4 linked regions of the Arabidopsis thaliana genome follow. The protein of the gene in region 3 interacts with the protein of the main gene of each other region in a pairwise test. Each region holds a gene or a part of one and is shown on either strand. Other genes may lie near its edges. The genes, in order: AT3G42725, UMAMIT8, AT1G11940 and BASS2.

Region 1 (6,351 bases), on a different chromosome or scaffold from region 3:
GATTGTGTGGATCCAGCATAAGGAACTATTAAAAATCCAGTGTCTAATATCTCTTCTTCAGCGGCCGAAGAATCCAATCCATCATTTGCAGTAAAATCACTTTCATTATTAGCGCCATACTGTATCGAAGCAGACAATACAGTTATACCTATGGATTATAAAATATTTAGCAATGTACGTACATGCCTTACCTGTTCATCAATGAATCCTTGCATATCTTCCTTATTGGAATCAGATAGCTCAGTAGTGTCAACAGCAAAAGAAACATTTTTCTTCGGCTTTGAAGGTTTTCTTCTTCCGCCGACAGTAGTGGTATGTACTCCAGGGACATCCAAATCTTCCTCTTTGGAATTACAGCCAACAGAAAGCGCAGGAGTGTCCACATCATGAGAAACACGGGTCAGCCTTGAAGACTTTCTCGTTCCAGTGCTTCCTTTTGTAGACATCCTTCTCGATGGCTTCTTCGCAGTAACCGGTGCCTTATCCATAGAAGTAGGTGGTTCCCGCGAATCATGGGAAGGTATGGTTTGTTTTGGCCTTTTGCCTTTTGGATCAAGGGCAGCACGTATCTGCTCACGGACAAAGTCTTTCATATCTTCTTGCATTTGATACATTTGGTCTTCCAGCTTCTTGAAAGACCTCCTCATTTCAACAATAAACTTCTCAGGCACAGCCTCTCCAAAACAATCCTCAGCATTTTCTTCATTATCACAGTCCATTTCAGATTTCTGTTTTTTCATAGCAGGTTCTTTAGGGCTCGGGCCCGGTGCATTTCGTTTCCTCTTAACATCTACAATAGACCAGTTGCTGCTATTAATTGGTTTTCTTCTGGGTGAAATAACAAAAAAATTTGTAACCAACCTTTATACTTATACTTACCTATCTCTTCTTGTTGTGGTGGTCGCACCTGCTTTGGTACTCTAGCATAGCCTCCAACCCATTCATCCTCCTGCCACTGGTGCCCATCTATCAACAGTGCCTCAATGTAATCAACCCTTGGATCATCAACTTCATCATCCCATGAAAGAGATGGAGGACAAACACTATCAGCTGGTTTCACAATATAGTTGACCTCAACCTACACAAATAAGTATGTTAACCATAGATAATGTACATTTACTTATTATGTACGTACATACACAATTTAACACACCTCATCAGCAGCCTCACACTCCAAAAAACGAGATGTCCGGATTGCCCGCAGTGAGGCAAGACGATGGATAGACCTCTCAGCAAATGTCCTGTTAGGTACATCATCAGGTCCTAGCTTAGCAATTGATGGGATTGTTTCGAAAGCTAAAAGATGGAGAGCTAATGGGAAGCCATGTAGTGCATAAGACCCTACCAGTAAACCCCTTATTAGTTGTTGAGCATCGTAAGGAGTTTGGAATTTTGCTATCCTCCCCAAAGTACGGGTAAAGGACACCCTTCCCCATGGGTATTTGCAGAAGAACTCCAGGTTCTTCGTCATCTCGACAGTCTTCGAAGTAGCCCTGTTGGGGTTACTGTGGGCCGCTACCACACCGTCTACCAAAATAATAAGAGATAGTGCCAGTTGCTTCCACCCCTCCATGCTTTCCTCCTCCTGCAGCCAGCTCACCAAATCAGCAATTGTTGGAACCGTGTCCCCAAACCTCTCATCGAACAGAGTCTTCCAAACACTCTCACACTCAGGTTTCACACTGATAACATCCTCCACGTCTTTCTTCTTGGGATACTTCCCACATTCCAGCCCAGTTAGGATACTAAATTCTCTTAATCCAAATCTGATTGGATGACCACCGAATACAATCCACATCTCATTCACCTTCTTTGTCACTAACTGACAGCATATTAGTCCAAGGACAAGCTTAGCATTGAAAGATGCCTTGTTTTTGGGTATTTTAAAAAGTTCCCCAAATGGAGAATCGAGAAGAAACTGCATCTCTGGTTTCCCCTTTAGTACATTTGCTATGTTAGAAATGTACTCCGGTTTAGAGTACGCGTTCATCTTTGTCTCGGAAGGGTACCGGTCTATAGCAAAGAGTCTTGGTGGTAACTCTTCAACTGTAAGATCTTCAATCGGAGCAACACTTGGACTACCTGCAATTAAACGTGATATATTGTTAAGCAAACCGAAGTAGTGTACGTACACAGACATTTTCCAGATTATAACTCAAAATCATATTTTTGGCGGAAACAGAGATTTCCAATTCTACTTCTCAATTTTTCATCCTAAAGATATGCTAAATTCCGACTAGTTCTAACCCTTTAATCAAACAAGCTTTACAATTCTGATACACCCAAAGAAAACAAACGGTAAATTAGAGATTCTAACCCAGTTCCTCCGTTGCCTTTGTCGCAGAGCGTTTTCTCTGCGGGGAAACTCTTAATACCCGCTTCTCCTTCCCTGGACCATGCTGCTTCCTCGGGACTTCTTCGTTTGCTTTATTCCCAGCCATAGCTAAAGTTGCTATCTCGCCGGAGGTTCAAATTTCGTCGGAATAAACAGTAACTTTTTCTTGGCTTCGCCGGGAAAAACAGTAACTTTCTCTTCCCCGGATGTGGGAGTTCAGTGACTCAATTCAACTACCCAACAATTCGAAGTTATGTCGAATTTTGAAACAATGGATACTGAATTTCGTTTCGCTTTCTAATTCTCTCTCAAATCTCTCCGTTACTCTCTTCTCTTTTTCTTTTTCTTCGGTTTCTTCGTTTCAGTTTTTTTGTTTTGTCTTTTTCAAAACTGAACCGCATCAACTAAACCGAAACCAACTGCTGTAGGGTTTGGTTTATGCCATCAACTGAACCGATACGAACTGCTGCACGGTTTGGTTTGTGCCATTATTAAGTTTTCCCAAGGTAATTTGGTCCGAAATTGAATGAAAAGACAAACCGTAAAAACCAGTTCTCACTTTGACAAACGGTGAGAGCAAATCTTTTTTCGTCCACTTCTGTAAATTTTTTTTTAATGGTTAGTTTGCTTTTAATATTAAAATATTAAATATATTGGTTTTGAGACACTAAAAAAATAATTATGCAATGAGAATGCTCTAATGGTCTAATCTATGGTTTTCCGTTGATTAATACAAACCTTATTTTTTATTACTTGTGTCAAATTTCACCGTCCTATTTTTGGTGTCTTCAAACATCTTTGTTTTATGTTTACCTTTTTTGTTTTAATTATATTATTAAAGATTGTGTCTTGGTTTGAAGGAAAGAAAAATCTTTAGATGCATATTCTATTGTTTTTAAGCTCTTAATTTTTTATTAGAGTTTCAATTGGCTTAACTACAGTGACAAATAAAAGAATTAATGATCGATTGTGTTTCGACGATGATTTTTTTACCGAAATATATACCCAACGACCAAGGTTGATCTTGGAAATCGTACGATTACTCATCGAACACATGTTGTTTTGCACGCAGTTGTTGACACGTGGGTTTGGATGGAGTCAAGACACAATTTCTTTTGCAGTTAAACAGTAATCTTATAAGCTCATATTGTACCTCAATATTTTTATAATCTTTTTTGGGATTTTTGGTATAGTCTATGTATATGTAAATAAAATATTAAAATATTGCAATTGAGAAAGAAGAAAAATTTAAATATTTTAGATGCTTAAAAAATACAATTGACATAAAAGAGTATTTTATGGACAACATGAAATATATCAAAAATAATAATCCTTTTCAAATTTCTATTCGAGTAGCAATTTAGTTTTAGGTCTTTGAGAAGAAAAGAAAAAAAAAAGCAATTTAGTTTCAGGCATTTATGTAAACAATAATGATAAAATAGTATTACTAATTCAAATATATACGACCGTCATTTTCGTGAGGCTAAAGGTCAAAAATCTATTACAATACTTTTGTGAAGCCCATTATGTCAATATAACCGTTAAACCTCATCATAGCCGTTACATCTTCTCCCCAACGGGCGCTTAGTTTCTTACTTTACCTATATAAAACTTGAAACAAACAAAAAAAACATAATTTCACAAAACATCAATGGCTTCTTTTCACAGAAAGTTATGTTTGTTCCAAAACATTCTCGTATCGTGTCTGAATTTCACTCTCCTCCTCCTCTCCCTCTGTTCTTTCGTACCAATCATTCTTCTTAGAAACCCTCCAACTTCACTCGGTTTAGCCTTCCTCGCAGTCTCACTCGTCTCTCTGATCTCCTCTTTCGGTAGTGCCTCTTCGCACCAATCTCGATCATGTTTCATCGCGCGGATAACGCTTCATGTTTCCTCACTGACGGGTCAGTTTATTGCAGTTTTAATGTTGTTTAGTAGAGAGAAACAGAGTCTTTCTTTGCTGATATCGACTCGAGACCCTAGAGAGGCTAAAGCTTTGGTTAGAGTAGAATGTGGTGTTTTCGTGGCGATGATTCCGTTACAGATAATGGTTCTAGTGCTGGCTTGTTTGTTACATTGTTATTGGGTTAGAGAGTTCGAAGGGTTAGATGTTGAGAGTGAAGATTCTTTTAGAAGAAAATGTAACCGAAGAGTCTCGACCGCTGAAGATGGGACTAGTTCGGATTTAAAGAAAATGGAGTTGGACGAGAAGATGAATGTGAAACATGTTCAGTGGGTTAAAACAGATTTCGAAGGTTAAAGTGTTTTTATGAATCTATAGTTTGTGATTATTGTTCAAACTTCAAAGTTATATTTTATGTCTTAGTTAAGAAAATTATTTATTTGCTGTTACAAAACTTTGTTAGGTTTTCTACAATGTTGTAAGTAATATGTATGGCTACTTGAATTGTCCTAGTAATGGTTGATCTTGTATTTTTTTCTCTCGTACATCCACCATTAGTGGGTAATTTACATACATACACTAGTACAAAGATGCATGTATTTATTTTGCATTCTTTCATAACCATAAGAAAGATGTCTTAATATCATCATACTACGATCCATTAGCTGTTCCTAAGATCTCAGAGATTCAAAGCAAATTATTCGGCTCAACGATCAAACACATCCTAATGTAAAAAGAAGAAGAACCAAAAACAACCTAATCCAAAAGGGAAAAGCACCAAAAACCTAACTAGAAACTCTTTAAGACTGGACTCGGGTTTTGGAAACCTCTACGGTTGTATGTGATACCGTATCTCGTATCAATATCTTGACCTTGGGTGAGGTGGTGGCAAGCTTCAACAGGTTCTTCAATATCTTGAGCTTGGGTGAAGCGGTGGCAAGCTTCAACAGATTCTTCAATATCTTGAGCTTGGGTGAAGCGGTGGCAAGTTCCAATAGATCCTTTGTGAGTTGCACCTTTTGGGGGTCATCCATTGGAGATGACAACTTTCACAACTTCAAGACACTCCATTTCCAGTAAGAAATGGCTAATCTGTTTCAGCACGTGTGCACTTCCTTGATAATGCATGATACTCAATATCTTTACTTGGTTATTTGTGGGAATATGAATCCCCACAAACCGATTTCTTTTAAATATGTAACGATGCAGACCCTGAAACATCAAGAAGAGACACTACTTTAATGTAATGCCAGTCATATTATTAAGTAAGATTTCTTAAGGGTTTGCTTCGTACCGAGAGAACCAGAGTTTTAGGTTTGGAGAACGCTCAGCATAAGTGGCAGAAGCTTCCTAAAACATTTTTTTTAACACGAAAACAATAACTCAAGGAGGTTGTTGACAACAGGTAGTCCACCTTTGCAGCATACTAAAATCACCTGAAATATACACACAAAGAATATTTTTCTTGTTTATAGGCAAAAGATGATGAGAGCATACACTAAAACTGACCTCGACAGCAGAAGAAGTCAGGTGCAGGGTCTTGACGTTGCGTATCCCGCTGATGAGATTCCACATCCCCGTAAACCAGCAGCCCATTTGATTTTTTTGCGAAAGTAATGTCCAGTGTAACTTTGGCAAGTGAATCCAAATTACAATGCAGAGACCCCGGCAGAGTATAATCAGAGTAGTGGAGGTCGACAACGCTCAGTGTGTCAAGTGTAATAATCCAAGAATACGCGGCATAATTATGTTGATATTAGACAACAGACTGCTGGATATGACTTGTGGTGTTTTTGAATGATACCTCTGATGTTAAGTCCTCAAGTGCAGAGCAAGCAGCGAGAACCTTTAGCGCTGGGAGAGATATATCGAAAGGAAAGCTTGACATGCAACATTCTCTTCCCAATGACAACTTAACGAGTGTTGTATTGGTGAAGATTTTAGATGGGAGATCAAGGTACCTGATAGATTATGATTTGGGCCTAATGGGCTGTCGTTTATGGCTTATTGTTTAAAGCCTATTTTCTTTAGTTCTTCTATTTAACATTAGCTTTTGTTTCTGAAACACTTATCGATTATGAACAAAGAAAAGTTTATCTTCTTCATCTCATCT
Region 2 (7,546 bases), on a different chromosome or scaffold from region 3:
GATTAAATTAAAAAGCTACTAGTTTTGTTCTCTTTAACTGATGTGAGGACAATATGTTTTCCTTTGATTTTGCAGTTATGTTCACAGAGTTGGTAGAACAGCTAGGGCTGGAAGGGAAGGTTATGCTGTAACGTTTGTGACTGATAGTGACCGATCCCTTTTGAAAGTCATTGTAAGTGAATCATCAGACATACATGGATCTTGCTTTTACCCAATTCATTATCGCTTTGTTTAGACATTTGAATCGACTTTGTTTCTTTGTTTAAAGGCAAAGAAGGTGGGTTCAAAGTTGAAGAGCCGAGTCATCCCAGAGCAGTCAATCGTCAAGTGGTCTCAGATAATCGATGAAATGGAAGATCAATATTCCGCTGTTATTTCAGCAGAGAGGTTTCATTCACACTCATCAAAGAATTATGGTATCCCAGGAGAATTGGTTGATCTGTATACTTAAGCTTTGAGGTGTTTTCATCAATTTCAGGGATGAGCGAGCTCTAAGGAAAGCTGAAATGGAATTTGCAAAGGTAGGCAGCTTTGGTTCTTGTCTTTGTTCAATTATTGTGGGAATAATTTCAAATTCGTGATTATGGGCTTGTTTCTGCAGGCGGAGAACATGCTTGAGCACAGAGATGAAATATATGCACGCCCAAAAAGGACTTGGTTCATGACAGAGAAGGAGAAGAAGCTCGTGGCACAGGCTGAAAAGGTGTTCTTTTAATTTCCTGAGGTTGTTGTTGTAGAGAGAGGGATACACTTGTCTGAATCATTCTTTATACTTTCTCTGAATAGGATTCTGCAGGGAACCCTGCTGGAGGCGAACTAGTTAGTGCTGATAGAGCAGAGGACCTCAAGATGAAGGAGAAGAGAAAACGTGAACGCGAGGTCTGTTTATCAAGAAGCTCTTCACTATTCAGTTGCATTATCGTTCTAGTTTAGTGTTGATTGCTTCTTCCTAGAGAACTTACAATTCTCTTGACCATGCAAGTACAGAAGAATCTTCCTAGGAAAAAACGTAGAAAGCTAGAAGCTGCCAGAGAGATGCTAGAAGATAACGAAGGAGAAGAAGAGGAAGAAGACGAAGAAGGAGACGAAAAGAGAGGAAGATCAAGAGTAAGTATTTCAGAGATACACATCACTCTCTCTCTCTCTCTCTCTCTCTCTCTCTCTCTCTCTCTCTCTCTCTCGCCGGGATGACAAACATTGTATTGATTTTAAATGTGTGTTTTTTTTCAGGGGAAAGACAAGAAAAAACAGGAGACAGATAAGAAGGGATTGACACTAAAGGATCTTGGTTACATGAGAGCAAAAGCGGTGAAAGCAAAACAGAGAGCAATTGATTCCGGTAAGATGGAGAGACCAAAGCCGGACAAGAAACAAAGCCGGAGTAAACCAAGAAACCAGCCTCGTGGTGAAGAGATGAAAGATCTGTTCAAGAGTGATATGGGCGAGAAGAAACAGGGCAGAGGCGGTGCCGCGGCTGCAGCAAAACCTCGGACGAAGTCGAAGAACTCATTCAAGAGCAAAGCCAGGTAAGAAACATTTCATCATAAACATGAAATTTACCAGTAACATAAATTGTAATTTGTTGGTTTAACTCGGTATTTTCTACTTTTATCGTGCAGATATAAGCGTAGGTAAAAGGAAAAAGCATTTTTGAGAAGATATCGAAGGACAATCCCACGAGAAGAAGGACATTTCATTGAGAAGGGTTTAAACAATTTAAATTATTGTTGTAATATCATAATTTAGAACAAAACTGGTTAAGATGTTCGAAATTTTGTTTTCTTTGTCCTATGGTTTTTATAATCTTTCATAAAGCTTTACCATGATTATTCGTAGTATGAAGAAGCAAAAAGTGGTTTAAAAAAAAATTAAAAAAAAAAAGAAGAGGTAAAAAGTCACGTGAGTTGGCGACGGTTGTAGTTGTAGACGCGTGGGCACGTGAGAAGACTATGTATGTTCACAGACTTCAGAACTTGAGACTGTAACCTTTTGTCTGTTCGTACGTGGCACAACTCATTAGTCATTAGAATGTTTTGAACCGGTTTAGGAGCTAATATGAGTTTCTGCATATTCAAGATGCCTTTTATTTCACACCAAGGGGTTTTGATACTAGTTAGGGTCTATAAAACTAAGTCTTAAGTGTTTTGAGCGTGAACTTTTCTTTTTTTTGGTCAGCGTGAAATGTTTCTAAGCTTTTAAACGCATTAAATTTTCATGATATGGATAACAGATGTTACAAAAGAAAAAAATGTATGTGGATAAAGATTAAACTCTTAACTTAATATATTTAGATAGATCGCATATTATATTTGTTGGGAAAAAAAGAGGGGGAGAAAAGAGAGACGATAACACGCTTCACAAGTCATTGGAAAAGAGACTGAGGATTGTTGACGTGTAAGCATCCCCACTTTTGCTCTTTTCTTTCTTACACTCCTCATTTTTTCTTATCTTACGCTTCACCTACCATATTTTACACTCCACACAACATCTCCAATATTATACATCTCCAATTAAAAATCTTTCATAGGCACATCATTTATTATAAAATAACTAATTCGTTATAGACTCTAGTCTAGTTTTCTAGTTAAAACTGATCCCTAGAAAATATTTTGATCATAAAACTATTTCGGTGTGAAAACGAATCACTAAACCATCCTTTGGTGTTTTGGGTTAAATAACTAAAACATTTCGGTATGAAAACAGATCACTAAACCATCTCATTAGCATTAACAAGGATATTAGAATAGGAAGCTTTTTTTACCAATAAAAATGATTATAGGTAGGTAGGCACATGGCATACACATATGATTTATCTGTGAGACTGTGACAAATACAAATATGAAGACATTCCATATTTGCATGCAAGAAAAAAAGAAGGAAGTAAAGAGTGAACAGATAGTCAGATACGTAAAACGAATAAAGGAGAAGATGGTAAGATGTCGTATTATATATCCAAAAATAAGAATACAAACAAAAGAAGAACACTGATAAATATTTTTGTTACTCCCCCGAGAAAAGGCCAAGGTCCCCGAATCTGACGGAGTTTATTGCATCTGTCTTTTTTTCCTTCTTCTCCTTTCTTTTTGGTTTATCTTTCTTTTTCATACTCTGCATGTTTTTAAACTTCACTGTAGTACAGAATTTCATCTTTAACATAAATTTGTGTGAGGGCGATTTATGATCGATCATTCCACCTTTTTTTAAATGACTTTACTGACAAAATAAACATATTATTCTTTAGTCTTAAATAAATAGAATCTTGTTTTATAATTTTGCTATTTTTATTACGTTATTTTACCAATCAAAACTATGGTTTTATATTCCAAATTTTATTAATATAGTGGCAACTTCCCAAATAAAAATCTTGACAATTTGAATAATCTTAAATTTTTGCCTAGCCGATTTGGCGAATTTTATTTATTTATTTATTTGTTCTATTTAAGAAATATCAGACTCACCGAAATATTTATTTCTTAACAAATTAAGCTAACCGCTCTCAAATTTTTGTTTTGTCTTATTTCATACATATTAAATCCATTGCACCAAAATTTGAGGACTCTATGTGTTATAAAAATAATCACCGTTTTAGACTAAAAATAAATTAAAATCTGCGCTTCCCCAAAAAGCTATAATGGCGAGACACTCCATAATAAAACCAATGCAATGTAATGGACACATGTCTTTAAAAGCAAGAAGTGAAAGATAGAGAAAGTTTCAACTTCAAGCATTACACATTACCAAAAAGAGAGATCACAAACAAAGCATCTTTTCTATTTTCATTTATCAACAACAACAAAACCAAAAACTTAATTAGTGTTTCTCTGCTTTTTTAGTTCCCCCACAAAATCGAATCCTTCTGTTCGGTTACCAAATGGGTTCCAACTGATTTGTCCGTTATTATTCTTTTTATTTTCTTCGTGTTTTTTTTGTGTTGAAAAAATGATGAAGAGAGAGACGTTAATAGAAGCAGGAATAATCGGAGGATTGGCCGGAGCTCAGGTGATTTACGCCGGAAACTCGGAGCTACTGAGTCAGTTGCTGTCTCTCGGAATTGACCCACTTCTTATCGTTATCTTATGCACCTTTGCATCAGTTCTTCTCATCACCCCTCTCGCTTTTCTCCTTGAAAGGTATCTTCTTCTTTCTTTTAATTTACAAAATCTCTGTTTCGAACTTTATTCTACATTCTTTTTCTAATAAAAATTTGGATTTTTGTGGTGTGTATTTGTAGGAAGCTTTGGCCTAGAAGTCTAAGTTTCAAGTTGAAGATAAAACTAGTTTTGGTTGCTCTTGCTGGGTAAAAACTCCTCTTTTTATTTATTTCTGCATGTTTTGATTAATAGATGCTTACCTTGCTTCTTCTATACGTTAAAGAGAAGGAGAAGAATTAAAAATTCATAACAAGGGATTAATTAAGAGAGAAGTTGTGTTTGAAACAGAGTGACTCTGTTCCAGGGGTTATTCTTGGAAGGAATGAAACACACCTCTGCTTCAATGGCTACAGCTATGCCTAATCTCTGCCCTGCTTTCATTTTTGTCATTGCTTGGGCTGCTGGGTAAATCTTTTACTTTTGTGTTAATCTAATCTGTTTAGTGTTTGAAGATTAGAGCTTTCATTAATGTGTTATTTGAATAAATTGTAATTGTTAAGGATGGAGAAAGTGAAGCTAAGTTGTATGTATAGTAGAGTTAAGATGGGAGGGACAGTGTTGTGTGTGATGGGAGCTCTCATTATGAGCTTAATGCACAGTACTACCGCTACTTTAAGCTCGGTTAAGACTATACCTATTGTCCCTGACGAAGTCGTTGTGGACAAGGACAAGATCTTAGGTTGCCTCTATCTCCTCCTTGCCATTTGCGGCTTGTCCTCTAGTATTGTCCTTCAGGTTTCACCTTATACCCCTTCTTAGCCCTAGAGCTATCATATATCCGGTTGTGCTAATTAATCTGATTCTTTGCTTGTGAAATCACTTTGATCGTCCTAATTAGGCATCCATACTAGCCGAGTTTCCGGCGCCTATATCAATGTTCTCGATGGTATCTTTGATGGGTGGGATCACCACAGTAGCTTTGCAGTATGCTCTTAAGGGAAGTATGGAAATGGGAAGTGCATCAGTAATCGGTCTCGGCCACCTTGTGGGATACGCAATACTGGTACGTCATAAATCATATATGGTTGGCAACATTTGGATGTGTTGAAAATGTTTTTGTTTTTTTTCTAGGGAGGGTTGGTGAGTGGAGGAGGGTTAAGCTTCAATGCATGGGTGATTAAGAGGAAAGGACCAGTGATTGTGTCTCTCTTTAGTCCAATTGCAACTGTGGTATGTGTTGTTGTCTCTGCTTTTACCATGGAAGAGAGTTTCAACCTAGGAAGGTACATTTTTGCAGCTTTTCGCATTCATTGTATGATCTTTTAGACAGAAAGAGAAGTCATTTATCTTCTTTCTTGTTTGTTTTTCTCTGTCAAATTAGCTTTGCGGGAATGGCGTTGATGTTCGGAGGACTCTACTTCGTTCTGTGGGCTAAAGGAAAAGAGGATTGTGAAGAAATAGATGAAATGAAACAAGATGATGAAGAAAGTTTGCTTAGAACAGAGTTTGATCTTCAGAAGCCTCTCTTGCTTTAGTTCAAAGTCTTTTTTTTTTCTTCTTCTTAATGTTCTTGTGAATTTAGTTTAGGTTTAAAGAAGTAAGACAATTTTACTTTACAGATAATTCGGTTAGATATACATGTAGTAGGCTGTAGACTACAGTATATGTTCGTGTGTGATACTAAAATAGTTGGATATAAAAAAAACATCACATACATACAGGGCGAAGAAAAAGGGCCTAAACGATGTTATGTAAAAAGTTGTTCAATGTGAAGGTATATTTATATATAAATAAAAATTACCGTTGAGTTAGAAGATGAAGATAAACCTACCTAATATGAGAATGCGAATGGAACTAAGCAAATACACGCCAAAGACTGTTTTCCTATTCCCAAAGAAAAGCTGAGCCAGAGTATAAGTCAGGTGTGGAGATGGAGTTAGATAATGACAAACAAGGTAGAAACAAAAAAACGCAAGTCAGGGTATTTATAGAATTGTCATTACATAGCAGATGACCAAGCAGGTTAGTGTCCGCTATATCGGAAAGCTTCAAGAGAACGGGAAGATCTTCGATTCCACCATTGGAAAAGCACCTTTTAATACTTATGTGATATGGCAATTAAGGGATGGAGTTATGTGATTGGTACGTGATACTTATGAAGTTGTTGTTACATGCAGGTCATGGTAAAGTCATTAAGGGATGGGATGTTGGCTTAAATGGTAACTTAGTTTCGTCCTCCTAAAGGTTTTCATCACTTTGTTTCAAATGGTGTATTGCTCTCAAGTTTTAAAAATTTCACAGGCATGTGTGTTGGGGACAAAAGAAGGATTACAATTCCTCCATCAATGTCGATATCTTCTTCTCTTTCTCCATGCGCTTGATGGATACCTTCAATATCTTCTCTACATAAAATCTTGGCGAACGACTATAATTGTACTTCGTTGTAGATATCATGCATACGTGCTTCCATTAATCTGCAAATTTGCTAATAAATCGCAGTAGCTGGAACTGGAACATTAGACTTCTGGATGTAAAAGCATTAATGAACTTTTGGTCAACCATTAGACCAAGAGGTTTCCACGATTTCTTTCTTATAGTCAATTAATATATTTATTTGGATGAAAAGTTAACTAATATTAAACACTGAACAGAGATTTTTTTGTTTGCATCTGAAGAGTTACGTAGTTACTGAAAATTGAGATTGAAGCAAAGCTAAGTAGTTAACACGATAGATTCCATTGTGTAAGCCTCTTCTTTACTCAACTATGTATTAAAGTTCCAACAACTCAAATTCAAATCCTTGCTGGTAATGTTAACATATGTATTCTTTGTCACCTTTTCAATAAAACCATGATTACCAAAGGTATATTATCAATTTAATGGATTCTTGACTACTGCTACGTCTGTGTGACTATGCAACATCTTTCATACACTTTATCAAAGAAATAACATTTTTAATACATGGTATTTTCCTCTGTTAAAAAAGTATTAGTTTTTTTTTATTAGTAGTCATATTTACTGTTTTGACATCCACATGTTTTGTATGAACCAAAACAAGAACTGTTACTATAGTTAATACGACAAATAATTATGTAACTTCTAATTGCTTAGAAAGTATAAACCAACTTGTTTTGGATAACCAAAACACATAAGTAAGTTTTTCGAATCGGAGAAGCTATCACATTTATTAGTATCATCTGTATTATTGGTAATTAAATCAGAATACTATACTATCATTGAACCAATGGTAATCATTTTATAGTTCTTATCATTAACCCATTACGTAGAAATTAAAGTAAAACTAAATAGAGATTTAAGTATGAATGTCAAGTTTGTTGAACTTGCAATCATAAACAAAATTCAGTCCCGGTTCGAAAATTCAAAACATTAAGACACTTATCACACTCGCAAACAATTACATTTTTTTAAAAACTTTTTTGTCTTTTTCTTTCATT
Region 3 (7,964 bases):
TAAAGAAATGGTTAGTTTCTGTTCTTACATTTTAATGACACTGCCTATAGGTTTCAATATCGTCAATTACAATCTTATGATTTGTGACAGGTATCCCCATTTGTCCACGGATGATATCCTTGAAAAATGTCCCTTTTGCCGAGGAACTTGCAACTGCTGCACATGTTTGCACTCTAGTGGTTTAATCGAGGTATGAGTTGCATTCTTAACAAAATATGTGGTGGTTGTTTATATAGATCAAGAACCGCAAGTTCGATTTTTGTTTTGGTGTGAATAGAGATGTATCTATTTGTCTTGCAGACATCTAAGAGAAAGCTCGATAAATACGAAAGATTTTATCATCTTCGCTTCTTGATTGTGGCGATGCTTCCTTTCCTGAAAAAGTTATGCAAAGCACAAGATCAAGAAATCGAAACCGAGGCTAAGGTTCAAGGTATATATGGTTCTCCCTTTTACTACTAAGACAAGATTTTTTCTTGCTACAAGATAACATATTGATATGTTTATAGATTCAATGGCTTCTCAAGTTGATATATCCGAGAGTCTATGCTCAAATGAAGAGCGTGTCTTCTGGTAAGTATCATCCTTTTGTTGCATGTGTTTGAAGAGTTACATGACATCTATCTTATATATCACTGAAATGTCTTTGTTGCTCTAGTAACCACTGTGCAACATCAATTGTTGACTTGCATCGAAGCTGTCCAAAGTGTTCATATGAATTGTGTCTGAACTGTTGCCAAGAGATCCGTGGAGGTTGGCTTTCTGACCGCCCGGAATGTCAGCTACAATTCGAGTACAGAGGGACCCGGTATATACATGGCGAAGCTGCAGAACCGAGCTCTTCTTCTGTTTCCGAGGATGAAACTAAAACTCCATCCATCAAGTGGAATGCTGATGAAAATGGAAGCATACGGTGTGCGCCAAAAGAGCTAGGAGGTTGCGGGGACTCTGTGCTGGAGCTTAAGCGAATCTTACCAGTGACTTGGATGTCAGATTTGGAGCAAAAGGCAGAAACATTCTTAGCCTCTTATAGTATCAAACCGCCAATGTCATATTGTAGATGTTCTTCTGATATGAGTAGTATGAAGAGGAAGGCAGCTTCGAGGGACGGATCTAGTGACAATTACCTTTATTCTCCTGATTCTTTGGATGTCCTGAAGCAAGAAGAACTTCTGCATTTCCAAGAGCATTGGTCCAAAGGTGAACCAGTGATTGTTCGAAATGCTCTTAACAACACAGCTGGTTTAAGCTGGGAGCCAATGGTGATGTGGCGGGCTTTATGTGAGAATGTTGATTCAGCAATTAGCTCTAATATGTCTGATGTCAAAGCTATCGATTGTTTAGCTAATTGTGAGGTAGAAACTCATTTTCTTATAAAGTTTCTATAGCTGTATAAGAGGTTATAAAGCTCATTTTGTTTCTTGTTATTTCAGGTGAAGATAAATACTCTATGTTTCTTTGAAGGATATAGCAAAGGAAGAACATATGAAAACTTCTGGCCTGAGATGCTGAAGCTGAAGGATTGGCCTCCTTCAGACAAGTTTGAAAACCTTTTACCTCGTCACTGCGATGAGTTCATTTCCGCATTACCATTTCAAGAATACAGCGATCCTAGATCAGGAATTCTCAACATTGCTACAAAACTTCCTGAAGGACTTCTTAAACCAGATCTTGGTCCAAAAACTTATGTTGCATATGGGACTTCAGATGAGCTCGGTAGAGGAGATTCAGTCACTAAGCTTCACTGTGATATGTCAGATGCTGTAAGTTTCAGAATTGTTACTTAGTACTGTTAAATAATAATACGGTTTCTCAGGTGTATAACGGTTTTTTGTTTTTGTAGGTTAATATTCTGATGCATACTGCTGAAGTAACACTAAGTGAGGAGCAAAGGTCTGCAATTGCAGATTTGAAACAGAAACATAAGCAACAGAATGAGAAAGAGCTTCAGGAGCAAAATGGTTTAGAGGAAGAAGAGGTTGTGAGTGATGAGATTGTGGTTTATGATGAAACAAGTGGTGCACTTTGGGACATCTTTAAAAGAGAAGATGTTCCTAAGCTTGAAGAGTATCTAAGGAAGCATTGCATAGAATTCAGACATACTTATTGCTCTCGTGTTACAAAGGTAAGAAATAATCCACAAAACGTTTTCAGTTCCGAGTCTTAGAGGTTATTGTGCTGATAGGATTCTTTATGTTAGGTGTATCATCCAATACATGATCAGTCATATTTCTTAACCGTGGAGCATAAAAGAAAACTCAAGGCAGAATTTGGTATGGTTACTTGTAACTGTAGTAACTGTCACTTACCGACATTGTATTCTTACGTTTTTGTGTTTGTTTGTTTGAACTAAAGGGATTGAGCCATGGACATTTGTGCAAAAGCTAGGAGAAGCAGTGTTTATTCCAGCAGGTTGTCCTCATCAAGTTCGGAATCTCAAGGTTATTATTTGAATGGAAGCTGTCCTATTAACTAAACTTTTTCTCATTATCTTTAACTTGTATTATGGATTTTGATACAGTCGTGCACAAAGGTAGCTGTTGATTTTGTTTCCCCTGAAAACATCGATGAGTGTCTCCGTTTGACTGATGAGTTTCGACAACTCCCTAAGAACCATAAAGCCAGAGAAGACAAACTTGAGGTGATTCTTTTTCTGATATTTTCAATTTTGGATTAGCAACTTCTGTCAATGGATACAGTTTTGTTTGTAGTTGAATCTTGTTTTAATCTTTGCCATGTGAACAGATAAAAAAGATGGTGATCTATGCAGTTGAACAAGCTCTGAAAGAAGTGGAGACATTATTGCTAGATCGCAGCTAAAAGCTCTATAGCTTTGTTGTTGTAGGATTAACAGCAGATTTTGTAGAATTGTTAAAGCCATGGCTATTGTAGTTGGCTTTTGCTGTGATATATGTATGTAAAAGAGACAAGTGTCTCTTGAAAAGAATGATTTCCTTTTTTTCAAATGGGATTTTGATGTAACTTTTCCTTTTCCGGTCTGTTTTGGCATATGAATGAATATTTGATGTAAGCTTCTTTTGTATAGTTTTGTATCTTTACATCATTTTGAGAGCAAATGAAAGTTTATGATATGAGAGCATCATAGATTCATAGTAGCAAATACAATTGGTTCAGTTGTTGCTTGCAAATTTTTACTGCAGTAAATATGGATTGTTTTGTTTTCAAAGGTTTTAAAATGACTTAATACATTAATTTCCAAAGGTTTTGTTTTAAGGTATTTTTTTTTTTTTTCTAATTGTATAGAAGGAAATACAATAATTAATATTCCTAGTCAAATTGTATAATTTTCATACCATTTTCTGACAATTTCAATTTCGGACAACAATTTAATGATGTTCTAATTTAACGTGGGTCCCAACTAACTTAAAACGTGTACGTGGCTTACGACGTCGTTTACAAGTTTATACGTCGAACTATCAACATCATTCTACCTTTCTTTCTCTCTTTCTCTCAAAATCCAAAATGTTGTAATTTGCAATTCTTCAGTTTCCGTTTCTCTCCTGAGAAATTTATTGACTTCAAAAACCCTAAAAAGACTTGTGATTGTTCGTTTCTCTAACTCGAATGTTGATCGTACGACGGTGAGTGATCGTAGTACAATGACGAAGAAATCACAGCCGCAGATTCCGCCTCCATTGTCCCGTCGCGGCGGCGTCGTGTGGCTGGGATGGAAACTCGTAATCGCTTTCTCCGTCGCGCTTTGCCTTCTTGCTCTTCTTCGAATCCAACTACAGTACAATTCCTTCACGACATTGTCGTTTCCACTCTCCGTCGCGAGATCTCAGACACCGCTTCACAAATACTCCGGTGATCGTCCCAAGCTCGCTTTCCTTTTCTTAGCTCGCCGTGATCTCCCACTTGATTTTATGTGGGATAGATTCTTCAAGGTCAAAAAAGATTCTTAGTCCTATTAATACTTGTCCGTTATTCTAAATTTCGAAAAAATTGCTGATTCTGGTGATTTTGCAGGGAGTGGATCATGCGAATTTCTCAATTTATATACATTCAGTACCTGGTTTCGTGTTCAATGAAGAAACTACACGATCACAGTATTTCTATAATCGCCAATTGAACAATAGCATTAAGGTGAGTGTTCATGAGAATTTCTCCATTTGATGTTTTTTTATAGTGAAACTTAGGGTGGTGTTGTTATGGTTATAGGTAGTATGGGGAGAATCAAGCATGATTGAAGCAGAAAGATTGTTGCTTGCATCTGCTTTAGAGGATCACTCCAATCAAAGATTTGTTCTTCTCTCTGACAGGTTTGCTTCTTTCAGCATTACTCTTTCAGATCATCTTATGCCTGACCACTTATTGCATCTGACTTTGAGCACATTTGTGGTTTGTACGGACTTATTTCATTTTCATCTACTTTCTGTTTTGCAGATGTGCTCCATTATATGACTTTGGCTATATATACAAATATCTTATCTCTTCACCGAGGAGTTTTGTGGATAGGTAGATTGAAAGTCTGAATTTATGAGGTTTCTTAGTACTTCATACTTGATATATATGGCCTGATAACTGGTGTATTATAAGAGGAGTTGTCTAGATGTTGATAACTATGTTTGTTGCTCTCTATTGGCAGTTTTCTTCATACTAAAGAGACACGGTACAGTGTGAAAATGTCTCCTGTCATACCTGAAGAGAAATGGCGAAAAGGATCCCAGGTATCTTCATTTTCTTGCTTAGGAAATGAACATTGCTACCAAGATTTTTGAAGCCTGAGTTTCTTGTGAAAATTTAAGCATTAGGAGGATAGGGACCTTTTAAAGTTCATGAAGTTTTTAATCTCATCTTAGTTTTATCTATTGCAGTGGATAGCTTTGATCAGAAGTCATGCAGAGGTCATTGTAAATGATGGTATCGTATTCCCAGTTTTTAAGGAATTCTGCAAGGTAAAGATTAAGCTTTATGATCATGACTTTAATTTCAATCTTGATTCTTTGTTGCTGAAGAAACAATAACTTACTTCTTGATTTCTCTTTCGATTTGCAGAGATGTCCACCTTTAGGTACCAATGAGGCATGGTTGTTTCTTGTAAGTGCTATTTCAAAGTTGGTATTTTTCATTTAATACCAGCCTGAATGTTTATGTTGATTCTTTGTGTTGGTTTCAAAACAATCTCAACAGTGTCTTTTCTGTAGTCTATGAATACTTCTCTCCATTGATTAACCTCTTTCTTTATTAAACAAATGGGGAAACTTTTATTACGTTTGATGTGAACTCAGAAACAGAAGCGACGCAACTGCATCCCCGATGAACACTATGTGCAAACATTGCTTACGGTGACCATCATATCTGATACACATCTCTCTCATTTTTGTTTCCATCTAAAAAGTTCCATATTGTTAATGTATTACAAACTGACCATTTCAGATGCAAGGACTAGAGAGTGAAATGGAACGAAGAACAGTGACATACACTGTATGGAACGTTTCAGGTACAAAATATGAAGCCAAATCTTGGCATCCCGTCACTTTCACATTGGAAAACTCCGGCCCTGAGGAAATAAAAGAAATAAAGGTACAATCTTTTTGTTCAGAGGATTAATATCACAACCGAATGAATCCCTAAGTAATCTCTCTAGTTCTTTTGCTTTTCTCGGGACAGAAAATAGACCATGTCTATTACGAGTCTGAATCTCGAACGGAATGGTGTAAGGCGGATTCGAAACCCGTCCCATGCTTTCTCTTTGCAAGGAAGTTCACGAATGAAGCTGCTATGCGCATTGTGAGTGAAGGACTAATAGGATCATCAGCAAACAAAACCTTATAACTTTGCAACAGTGTAAGCAAGTAGGTCAAGCAACAGAGCGTATACATAGAGTAGGAATAGCATTGATACATTACAAACATCCCTCATGAGGTTTAATGGTTTATGATTATATATGACGCTTAGTAAAAACTAATAATCATTCTTCATGGATAATCTTGTGTTTGGGTGTTAAAATTTCTATGTGTATATGTCTGAAGAAACTGGCTTCGATTAATAGAATATGTTAATAGCAAATTCTACTCTGGATTGATGTCTTTTACTCATTCTCCTGGAAATTGTTAAAAAAAAACTAAAATTTTCAAGGACTCGAACACACAATAATGAAGTACATAAACACTTAACCAAAACAAACTTTTTAAACAAGTGACCTTACATTTTTCTTTATAGTTGGTAGCGTAAAGCACATGTTTTGGTTGCTTTATGGGCGGACTGGGCCTAGTTCGTCGGAATTCTAAGCTTCTTTTGCAAATCTGATGATTCCATAGAAATGAGTCAAACGACGAGCCGTTGGACGGTAGTTGAGCTCAATTGGGCCACATTTTTTGAAAAAATTTGTTCACTAAAATTAGCTTAAAAAAAACATTTTTTTAATTGGGCTACAACAATGCAATTATTCCAAATCCATAGTATTGGCATTGTCATTTTTATAAAAATCTCTCTGAATCTTTTAAGTTCAAAAATCTTAACCATTAAAAAAATTCCCAACCGACTCGAGCTAAGCCTAGCAATCATAAAAAAAGGAAAACTTCCATTAACGAAAACTTCTCATCAGAAACTCAACTCCTCCTCCTCCTCCTGCAATCTTCTTGTTTTCTCTTTAGGCTTTTATTTTCATTTGGGCTTAAAACCCATTATCCTCTCACACTAAATATTTTTAGAAAACAAAAATGCTCATACTTATTTAAAAGGAATTTTGTATATAAATGAGTGATTGTGATTAATTTTGAGATGTATGGTAATTTTTTTTTATAATATATATGGTAACTTAATGGTAACCATATAGTTAAATGCAGAGTCCAATAAAAATGATCACCTTGGGTCTGAAAAATTGAAATGATGAGAAGCTCAGTTTGAAGTTTGAACTTTGAAGCATCTGTACTATGTAGTGGATTTTGCTTTCAGTGTTTCATAACACAAAAGAAGTATTAAAATCTTAGTTAGCAGAGCTCTCAAACCAAAAGAATAGTAACAAGTGGTTGTGACACCCTTTTAACTACTTCTCACTAGTAACGTAGCAAAGACAAGATTCTTTATTCTTCTTTCATGTGTTTATATCCATGAAATTAGAAAAATAGTAATAATGTACCTTGGTTACAACTTACAAGCAACATCACCAAATACAATGCAAAACAAAAGAAGAGAGAAGATCTACATGATTTCAACATTAAAACCTAAGCTCTTATTCTTCCCTGAAACTGGTTTTGATGTTCAAACTTAGAATCAATCTCATCACTCAGTAGTTTACATCATTACTTCTTAGGATACTCTCTCGCCCCGAAAATAGTAGATCCTATTCTCACATTTGTGCTTCCCAGTTCAATCTGCAACTCACCAAACCGTAAAGAAAACTCTTTAACATTTTGAACAGAAAGAATTTTTCACTCGAATCAACAATCACAACAACTTACTGCTAGTTCAAAGTCACCAGACATCCCCATAGATAGCTCACATTGCTCCTCCGGTATTCCAAGCTCCTTACACACTTCACTTCTGCATTTCGCAAGCAACTACACTTACAATAAGAAACGAAAGTGAGCTCTTTTAAGCATCTCACGATATTACCAAACATTATAGGTTCAAACCAGATTATATAAACCTTGAAATTCTCTGGGGTTGAAGTGTAATCAGCCATCCCTATTGTCATCAAACCAGAAAACTCAAGATTCGAGCAAGCTTCCTTCACGTGTTTCGCCAGTCCTACGCATCCCGAGGGTTCCACGCCGAATTTAGCTGAAAGTTTTGGTGAATACGATCATGTAAGATAGCTTTAAGAAAAGTGAAAGTGGGAAAACATTTGAGATAAATGTTGAAGAAGAAATTCCAGATTCTTACAGTCTTCACCACTGGTATTCACTTGGACAAATACCTTCAAGGGCTTTCTTCCGATATTACCAACCACACGATCAAGCATATTTGCAATCTATAAAGCATATGCAAATAAACAA
Region 4 (8,910 bases), on a different chromosome or scaffold from region 3:
CGACTTGACCTCAAAACCAAAGCAACAGTATCATACTATCAGAGAAACCATGCATAAAAGATTGAAGATGGAGCCACTGTAAGAAAACTACTTACATAAGGAACCCATTCTGCGTTCCGTCTCCTAAGATGTAGCACCTGAAACTCAGCCACAGGTCTAATTTGATTCCATCTAAGCCGATACAACTCGGTCAAAATACTCGCTCTGCACCTAGAAGAGAACTTCATAGCCTTAAATTTCCCTTTCCCATCCGTTCTAACATTGACAGTAAACTCACCACCAACACTCTCCGTGTTCTCATCTCTTCCAACCAGAGGTGAAGCACCATCAAAATTACTTCCAGTATCATAAGAATTAGTAACAGCAAGAGTATTAGGATCAAGCGTAACAATTCCGCCGCTCGAAATACAAAGGATCCTCTTATAACGACCTCTCCATGAATGTTTAACAACAAGATACCTAGCTAGATACTCCGGCTCTTCCACAGCACCGCCGGTTGTTGAAGCAACGGCACCTCTAGAGACGGAATCCATAGTCCGATCAGATCCAACGGAATCGATAAACTGTAACGTGTTGTTTCGAGGAGGATTATTAAGAAGAGGTCGTAGAAAATCCCAGAATCCTACCCTGGAATGATCGGAAACGCCAGGATAATGGCGGGGGTGGGACTGATTCGCCCCCAGTTCTTTGACTTGGTTATAGCAAAAGCCACCGGGGCTAGAAGGTCCTTTTGCAACAATCGGATCCAAAATGGGAAGCTTAAACCCTAATTTTAGTCGTATGTAAGAAACCTCGGGGAGAAGATGAATGCGATCGATTTGTTCTTGAATACGAAATTTGGTGAATGATGATGATCAGAGGGAAATGAAGCAAATTTTCGATCTGAGATTGGGAGAGAAAGAGTCGTGAATTTGTGTGTTGTTGTTGTTGCTGTTGTTTTTACAGTGTGACGACTTTGTTTGAGAGGGTTAAAGGCTAAAGGCCATTTTTGATTCGGTGTCTCTCCGGTGCAAATGCAATCATCATCAATTCTTCTGTTCCTTTAACGCGGATTAAACGTGTGTCAAAATGTATAATTGTCTAGATTACTATTTCTTTGGCTCTTTCAACAAATGAATTAGCACGTATATTAAAAAAATATGAAAACTAAAAATATTACTAATTAAAAAAAAAACAGAAAATCTATATGGGAAACATTCTACAGTAAAAGAAATGTTAAAATATAGCTAAACATTTTTTACTGTAAACTGAAAACATTTTTTACCACCATTTATACACTGAGACCAGAACTCCAGAAGCATAGTACTATTCCAATCATGTAAAGACCAAAATACAATGAGACTCTTCACCTTATTGAAACCGAGATCAACTGGCCACATTCCAATCAACTTTACATGTTTACTTATGTTAATTGTTGGAAGTTGTGTTTTCATCAGAAAAGGAAACACTCAAATCTAATTTAAAATGAAAATTCACCAAAACCACCTAATGCTAAAAACATCAAAACTTATCATTGCTGACAAAAGACGTATATGAGCTAAGAGAAGTCATGGCTGGAAATGAGGGAGTGCATTGTGAGAGTAGACAGGATTCCGGGAACAACGCTAATCCCAATCTGAAACTTAGATTCAAAATTTGGAGAAGGTGTGCCAAAAAAGATTTGTCCATTAATTGAGAAATAAAAAAAAGGTTGACCACAAAGTTGTCATCATGCACGCCCTTGTTTCTATGTCTCTTAAACACATTTTGTTTCATGTTTTTCAACACAAATTTTGTAATGTTTACTAACATTACAACAAAACAATCACATCGTTTGGAGAAGATGCAAACCGCCTTTCCTACTTCATTTACTCTTTGAAGTCATCCTTGTCATCTGCCGGAATCGGTAGGTTTCTCCAGAACACGGCCAGGCCGCTCCCGCCAAGCTGCAGAATGCCATTGAACATAATTAAACTTAAGGAATTTGCATGTGAACTTTAGTGAAATGGCTATGAAAACTTACCGCCATACAGACAACACTGACTGCAGAAGGAACAGCAACTAGAGGGTTTGTGAAATGCTTTTGTGCAAGCAAGAACCCGAGCGCTGAACTCTGCGGTTTGCAAAGTACACAGATTTTCAAAAAGAAGCCTTAGTAAAGCAAACGGCAATGTATATCTACGGTATAGGAGAAAGTAACTTACTTGCATTCCACATTCTATAGAAATGGTACGCGAAGTGGACTCGCCGAAAGAAAACTTTGAAATCCAATAGCCAATAGCAAAGGCTGCAGCATGAAGGAGTGCCACCGGGAGTATAAGTTGAGCTCCTTGGGTTTTCAAAACATCTGCAACTTGTCCAATCTTTTCAGAAGAGATAAGGTAGTAATCAATACCAATTCCAGTCTCAAAATTCAATAAAAAAAATATATATATCTGGATATATGAACTTACAGGGCTGGCACAGAGCAGAGTAGTCAGAATGACTCCGATTAGAGGCGTCACTGTTATGATCTTAGACGTAAATTTAGGAAAGAACTCATTTGCCAGAACTGCACACAATGCAGAAAAAGACATTAGTCCCTAAGGATATATAAGCACAAATTCATTTTTCCGGAAACACGTAGCACCATACTTACCTCCAATTATGGTAGGAACCAACACTACTTGGAACGTACTAAGAGCAAGTCCCTGACGTAAAAAAATGGATCCATAAGCTTTCGTTGTGGAGGGCTGCAACTATATTCTAATAGAGTTCTTGCGCTTCATTCTACTTTAAATCATTCAATAACTTTTACTGAACCATGATTATTCATATTTTAGCTAAGTGAAATGTATCTTATATTTCATACATAAAAAGAAATGTATCTTATCAATGCAATTTTGAATGAAACGATTCAAAATAGTTATAGAGAAAACTCACAGCAGCGTCAACGGGAACAAGCTGACCAGCAAGAAGCTTAGTAAGAAGAGGAGTCATTATAATAGCCCCAATGGTTGAACACCTAATAAATTAAAGAACAGATAATGTATATGAAATCTGACCAATAAAATTAAAGAACGAAAAGAGAAAGAAGTGAAAATAGAAGGATTACGTTGTCATGAGTACAGAGAGCGCTACATTCCCCTTGGAAATGTAAGTAGCAACGTTTGACGCCTGTCCTCCAGGGCAGCATGAGACTAGGATAAGGCCAGTCGCAAGAGGTGCCGAAAGCTTAAGAGTCTAAAATAAAACACACAGAAAAAGTTTGTATTAGTTGGCTGCTCAACAATTAATGTTAACCAAATGTAGTGTTTCCAAATGCACATAGCATATGTCCATATCAATCCTCTCTACAAGAGAAATCCCTCAAGGAGTAAGTGAGTATGCCAGGAATTGTTTCTACAGTAACTAGAAAGCAAATATTTGATTCAAACGTTTCAAGAAAAAGTGATGTTTGGACATGCAACGACTCTTGGATCTAAGTTAATCAAAGAAAGAATATTCCAATCAACATTTGATTTGGCTAAAGCGTATACAGCCCATAGAAGTAAAAACGGACGAAGAGAACCAATATCTTAAACAAAATAGAATATTGCATAAGCATCCATTTCAGAGAAGCAAATAGAAGTAAATGTGATAGACATTAGTGGAAACATACCATTGCAATGAGAAAACCTAGAATTGGCTTGATCATATATTGAGCAAGAAAACCAACACCCACCTGCAGGAGAAAGACTCTAAACGTTAAACAGGTACTGTATCTAACAGATAGAAAAAACACACCAGTGTTCATTGGCTCTCACCGTCCATGGATTACGTAAACATCTTCTGAAATCTTCAAACGTAAGAGTCAAACCCATGGAAAGCATAAGAAATCCAAGACCTAGAGTAAAGAGATCTGTTTCCAACCATGTAACCTACAAAACTTAAATCTATAAGCCCCAAAAACATAGATTGCTACAGTAAATAAACAATAACAAAGAAGCATAAAAAGCATACCAAGGATGGCTTGAAGATGCCAACAAGTGTTCCCAAAATAACCTGCACAACAAACAAAAACCACATTGCTCCATATCAGTTATCAAACTCACAAAAAGTTTCAAACTTCATCAAAGAAAGGTATAGCATAAGTACCCAAAGTGGAAAAAGGGTTGTCAAAAGCTCAATAATCTTCTCATACTGACTAAGTTCCTTAGGAGTACTCTCAGGTAAGTCACCTGACACACCAGCAGCAGCTTTGCAAACAACCCTCCTGTAAAAATTACAATTTTTAATAAACCCAAATCCTTAAACTTGTTTACACATTCACCAAATTACAATACCTGGAGGAAGTTGCTTCAAGAGCAAAGACAGGGCTAATAGGTTTACTATTCTGAATCCTCAAACTTATCCCAGAGTTACTAACAGAAACTAACTTGGGAAAATCTGAAGAAAAATATATGATTCAGCAAATTGACTCTTAGAAATCTGAAACCAGAGAAGTATAAAGGATAGATACCTAAGTGAGTTTGAGTTCTGGTTGTAGAAGGAACCCACGAGGTGTTGATTCTGCATTGACTTAATCTGCCATCTGTTGGTAAGATTCTGGAAATGGAAGCCATGTTTTGATCAAAAGGGTTTTAGGATGTTGGTGAATCAGAGAAGATGAGTTAGTGACATCTCCAAATGAGGAGGAGACAAAGGGTTTTGTGGAGTGTTGTGAAAGAGAGGAGAGCCACACATTCTTCATCTGCCCCTTTCATCAACAATCCTATCTGGAAAATATCTACTTAACATTTTTGGATCGATTCTACTACAACTACGTCGATGTGTGTGTGTTTTTTTTTTTTTTTCCTGTCGTCATTTCCGATGTGTTTTCGAACAGAACCTAATTGAGATTTGAGTGTTCGGTTAACCAGTCGATTAATAGAAGTGGTCCGATCGGTAACTTTTCCTATTGGTTAGGTACGGTTAATCGAACAATCTTTTAACCATTTTTTCTAATTTTTTAAACTAATATAAACAAATCATATCCAATTTTATAAACTAATACCAAAATTCTTTAAAATTGCTATACAAACCAAATTTTTGTATGGATTTGAGACACATTACCGAACTGAGTTAACTGATAACTGAACCGATCCAAACCGAATTTTTGTTCGGTTAAATTTGGCAGTCTTATCTCCTAACTAGATACTCGAAAAACCAATTATCCAAACCGAACGGTTCGGTTCGCTCAAAAGTCGTATGCCTAAGTTTCACATGTATTAATCAATCATATCTATTGAATTTTTTTTGTTTACAGTCTGATTGTATTGTTAAACAAGATTGTATATTTTTATACATTTTAGTTTATATATGGATAAGATGCACATATTCACTATGGTTCATACCACAGAAATTCTATATTTGAAAACTGTGCTGCAAAAACATATTTATTGATGTTGGAAAAGTCAATCAAGATGTAGAAATATGCTGAAAATATGGTCTATTTCCACCAAATGATTTGCCTCTATTTTTACTGTGAAAATAGCTTTATTAGTTAGATAAACTCATAAAATCAAGACAATCACATGATGAAGTATTGATTTAACACATTTTGAAACACTACACGTTAATTTATTCGACTGAACAAATACAAAGTTTTCATTAAATGTGAGTGCTGAGTTCTGTGACAGTTTGTTTGAATTTTCTGGATAATGATTAGCACCATGCCCCAGCCAAGAAACCCCCATACTTTGTTTGTAACCATTAATATTAATATTTTGGTTGGCGACAGACAAATCTTTGGCCGACGAAGCTGATTTTCACTCTTTCACTGCCAAATTTTGTATGTTTCATCGACATTTTTACATTTGAAAATCTTATGTTTTTGGTTTTGTTGGGGGATATGCATAAATTTCTTAAGAGATAAATAATAAGTAGAATCGTCGAGAGATGTATAATCTAGTTTATGTTTCTTGGCCTCTACTCTACTTTTCTTTCTTTGCATTCTCTTTAAATTCCCATTCTTCGTTTATTTAAAGATGCATGTTCGAATCTTCTCTACTTCTACAAACTAAATGGAATGACATAAGGTTATGTCTCTCTATGAATATTGTTGGATATAAACAAGTTGAACTACAATGATTCAACGCAGGTTGTTCAACACTCACTCTCTCAGCTTTGGCATCTTAAGACACTTTTACGATATATCCACTCCTAGTTTTTAGGAAAAGAACAAGACTGTCACATCTTTCAAAAGTCATCAACCCGCAACCAAACTTTTATTTCATTTGTCTCGTTAGATTAGATGCTTGATGAATTGAGTCTCAATACCTCCTAAAGTGAAGAAAGGTCTCGGGAGGAAACAAAATGACCTTAAGATATTAGATTTTTGGTTGGAAATTTGGAATGTTAAATTTTATTCAACAAAAAATTATCTACATAGTTTGAAAGGAGATTACAACAAGAGAGGACCAATGAAATAAAAGCATTAATAGAATGCTAGCTTAAAATTCAAAGAAATAGATCAGCTATGATCGGCCATGAAACCAAAGAGAATGGATCCGATGGCTAGTCATCAATCTCTTAATGTTAACAAAGAGTAGATCTGATTTTGATCAAAACAGGCCAGACCCGTACTTCGTCATCGTATATCATTATTTTTTATTTTCTGTTTCTTGAAAACAAAAAGAAAAAACTATTTGTAATCACATAACAATTTGTTGAAAGACAAAAAAAAAGAGAGAGAGAGACTAATATCTACTTGTATACTGTTATTTTTTTTTACCATTTCTATTAATTATTTTGTTATTATTCGTTAAAAACTTTATCTATCTTTTATGACCAATAATGATGCATAATTTATTCTAACCAATAACCACTAAACATGTTAGAATTGACTTCATACTTCCATTAATACATGAGTTGAAAATTCTAATCCTAAAATGAAAATGATAGAACCAGACCAGACCAAATTGACTCAAAAGATTCCAGCTCATCTTGATATTTCTAGATTACAAGTCACTCTAAATACATGTTTGAAATGTTCGAAAAAAAACATTGCTATAATTAATTAAAAAACAGTAGAAGGAAAAATTCGGTGAGAAGAAAGTAGAATGTTGCTAGAATCAATAAATTAATCAAAATAGGTACAGTATATAATAGACTAGTATCCCTCTAATCTAACGGTCCATTTATACCTGTCCCCATTACACATGTCAAAGATAATAATACAAAACAAGTATGTAAATTGTAGGTATTTATTAGTTGTGAGAATGACTATTTTATTCTACTCTTTTTCTTTTGGAAAAATCTAACGTGGACATCCGATAATCGACTTGGCTCAGATCGATTTTGAGTAAATTGTTTTAAGGGGTTTAGAATTCATATAGAACCAAAAAACATGCGGTTCGGATCGGTAGTTATTTTACGGTTTGACTATGTTCGGTTATCTCTCAGTTCGGACCGACATATAACCAAATTTTATTGGGTTCGGTTTGAATTAAATATTTGTACATAAACTATGTGGAAAAAAGAACTAAATAATTTGTTCAATCTAATGAATTAGTTTGCAAAAAATATTTACTCTAGACACATATAAGTATGTACATTCATATATTTTAGTTATTTTGAGCCTAATCATAACTAAATTTTCTGGTTTATAAATATAGTTTTGAATATTTGGATTATCTCAAACATAAATATAATTAACATTTTCTGATTTTTATGACATTGACTAATATTTTCTGATATTAAGATATTGATCTCCTTAAATTGTTTTTATCATTCTTTAAAGTTCATTATCTTGTTTGGTTCCAATTTCTTGTACATAAACCATAAATTTGAAATTTCAATTAGAAAAATAATTTCCTTTTATGAGATACAATCATACAATTGTATTTCAAGTAGTTCGAATACTCATTCCGTTTTCGGTTTAGTTCCAAGTTGTTATAAAAGATGAACTACACTATTTGGATGTTTATGATTATCTGGTTCGGTTCGGTATCTCTTAATTCGGTTATTTCGGTTTTAGTAATCCACATAAAACAGACTATAATCTCTTGCATTATATCCACATAGACCTAAATAATAAACAATTTGTTTCTTCCCGCTAAGTGATTATTAATGAGCCTCCCTTCTTCTCAACTGTTATTTCACTTTAACGTACAAAAAAAAACACACACAGAGAGAAAGAGAGAGAGAAAAGTTTCCGCATTAATGGTGGCTTCACCTACCAGTTGTCTAGTGGTGAGAGATTAATGTGACGACGACGACGACACAGAACAAGAGATAGAGGGAGAACAAACCAAAACCAAATCTACACTGCAATCTCTTCCCTCATCTTCTCCAATTATCATCTCTCTCTGATTCTGTTGCGCCGCCGCGGAGAATGTGGAACTCGGCGGAGAACGCATTCTCGCGTTCGACGTCGTTTAAAGACGAAATCGAAGACGAAGAAGAGCTTCGTTGGGCAGCTTTACAACGTCTTCCAACTTATTCACGAATCCGCCGCGGGATTTTCAGAGATATGGTTGGTGAGCCTAAAGAGATCCAAATTGGTAACCTAGAAGCTAGCGAACAACGTCTTCTTCTCGACCGTCTTGTGAATTCCGTTGAAAATGATCCTGAACAGTTCTTCGCTCGTGTTAGGAAGAGATTCGACGCGTAAATCTCTCAATTCTCTCTTACAATTTTAGTTCAAAATCATTCAGTTTTGGTTGAATTGAGTGAATTTTTTTTGAACAGTGTGGATTTGAAATTTCCGAAGATTGAAGTTCGATTTCAGAATCTGATGGTAGAATCATTTGTTCATGTTGGAAGCAGAGCATTACCAACAATTCCCAATTTCATCATTAACATGGCAGAAGTAATTACAAACAATTGACTCATTTTTTTTCTTCTTCTTAAGTTGTTGTGAGCAATTATGGTAATTAAGAAGATTTTTGTTACAGGGTTTGTTGAGGAACATTCATGTGATTGGTGGAA

What was found.
Region 1: the proteins of AT1G11940 (region 3) and AT3G42725 interact in a protein complementation assay, tested with the Arabidopsis thaliana proteins (one large-scale study listed by BioGRID).
Region 2: the proteins of AT1G11940 (region 3) and UMAMIT8 interact in a protein complementation assay, tested with the Arabidopsis thaliana proteins (one large-scale study listed by BioGRID).
Region 4: the proteins of AT1G11940 (region 3) and BASS2 interact in a protein complementation assay, tested with the Arabidopsis thaliana proteins (one large-scale study listed by BioGRID).

The regions. Positions count from the first base shown.
Region 1 is NC_003074.8:14,841,326-14,847,676, reverse strand, and holds AT3G42725 (Putative membrane lipoprotein), read left to right. Parts: upstream 1-3,958; 5' UTR 3,959-3,986; coding exon 3,987-4,595; 3' UTR 4,596-4,828; downstream 4,829-6,351.
Region 2 is NC_003075.7:9,356,265-9,363,810, reverse strand, and holds UMAMIT8 (nodulin MtN21 /EamA-like transporter family protein), read left to right. Parts: upstream 1-3,571; 5' UTR 3,572-3,939; coding exon 3,940-4,130; intron 4,131-4,231; coding exon 4,232-4,297; intron 4,298-4,339; exon of another isoform or gene 4,340-4,439; coding exon 4,440-4,556; intron 4,557-4,651; coding exon 4,652-4,886; intron 4,887-4,989; coding exon 4,990-5,154; coding exon of another isoform or gene 5,155-5,199; exon of another isoform or gene 5,200-5,222; coding exon 5,223-5,374; intron 5,375-5,472; coding exon 5,473-5,626; 3' UTR 5,627-5,905; downstream 5,906-7,546. Other genes in the region: AT4G16630 (DEA(D/H)-box RNA helicase family protein), read left to right, coding at 76-172, 269-387, 479-521, 602-703, 787-879, 988-1,107, 1,231-1,526, 1,620-1,635.
Region 3 is NC_003070.9:4,029,603-4,037,566, reverse strand, and holds AT1G11940 (Core-2/I-branching beta-1,6-N-acetylglucosaminyltransferase family protein), read left to right. Parts: upstream 1-3,411; 5' UTR 3,412-3,620; coding exon 3,621-3,908; intron 3,909-3,990; coding exon 3,991-4,107; intron 4,108-4,182; coding exon 4,183-4,283; intron 4,284-4,407; coding exon 4,408-4,479; intron 4,480-4,609; coding exon 4,610-4,691; intron 4,692-4,838; coding exon 4,839-4,919; intron 4,920-5,019; coding exon 5,020-5,061; coding exon of another isoform or gene 5,062-5,097; exon of another isoform or gene 5,098-5,252; coding exon 5,253-5,309; intron 5,310-5,400; coding exon 5,401-5,547; intron 5,548-5,634; coding exon 5,635-5,799; 3' UTR 5,800-6,033; downstream 6,034-7,964. Other genes in the region: AT1G11950 (Transcription factor jumonji (jmjC) domain-containing protein), read left to right, coding at 1-10, 91-190, 301-433, 510-573, 659-1,355, 1,434-1,763, 1,844-2,125, 2,201-2,273 and 3 more; AT1G11930 (Putative pyridoxal phosphate-dependent enzyme, YBL036C type), read right to left, coding at 7,269-7,346, 7,428-7,526, 7,616-7,749, 7,852-7,939.
Region 4 is NC_003071.7:11,473,309-11,482,218, forward strand, and holds BASS2 (Sodium Bile acid symporter family), read right to left. Parts: upstream 4,835-8,910; 5' UTR 4,563-4,834; coding exon 4,460-4,562; intron 4,387-4,459; coding exon 4,284-4,386; intron 4,214-4,283; coding exon 4,096-4,213; intron 4,003-4,095; coding exon 3,961-4,002; intron 3,879-3,960; coding exon 3,765-3,878; intron 3,683-3,764; coding exon 3,620-3,682; intron 3,202-3,619; coding exon 3,074-3,201; intron 2,984-3,073; coding exon 2,902-2,983; intron 2,670-2,901; coding exon 2,618-2,669; intron 2,531-2,617; coding exon 2,433-2,530; intron 2,343-2,432; coding exon 2,184-2,342; intron 2,093-2,183; coding exon 2,003-2,092; intron 1,926-2,002; coding exon 1,848-1,925; 3' UTR 1,444-1,847; downstream 1-1,443. Other genes in the region: GRV2 (DNAJ heat shock N-terminal domain-containing protein), read right to left, coding at 96-533; ABCG32 (pleiotropic drug resistance 4), read left to right, coding at 8,315-8,589, 8,671-8,791, 8,877-8,910.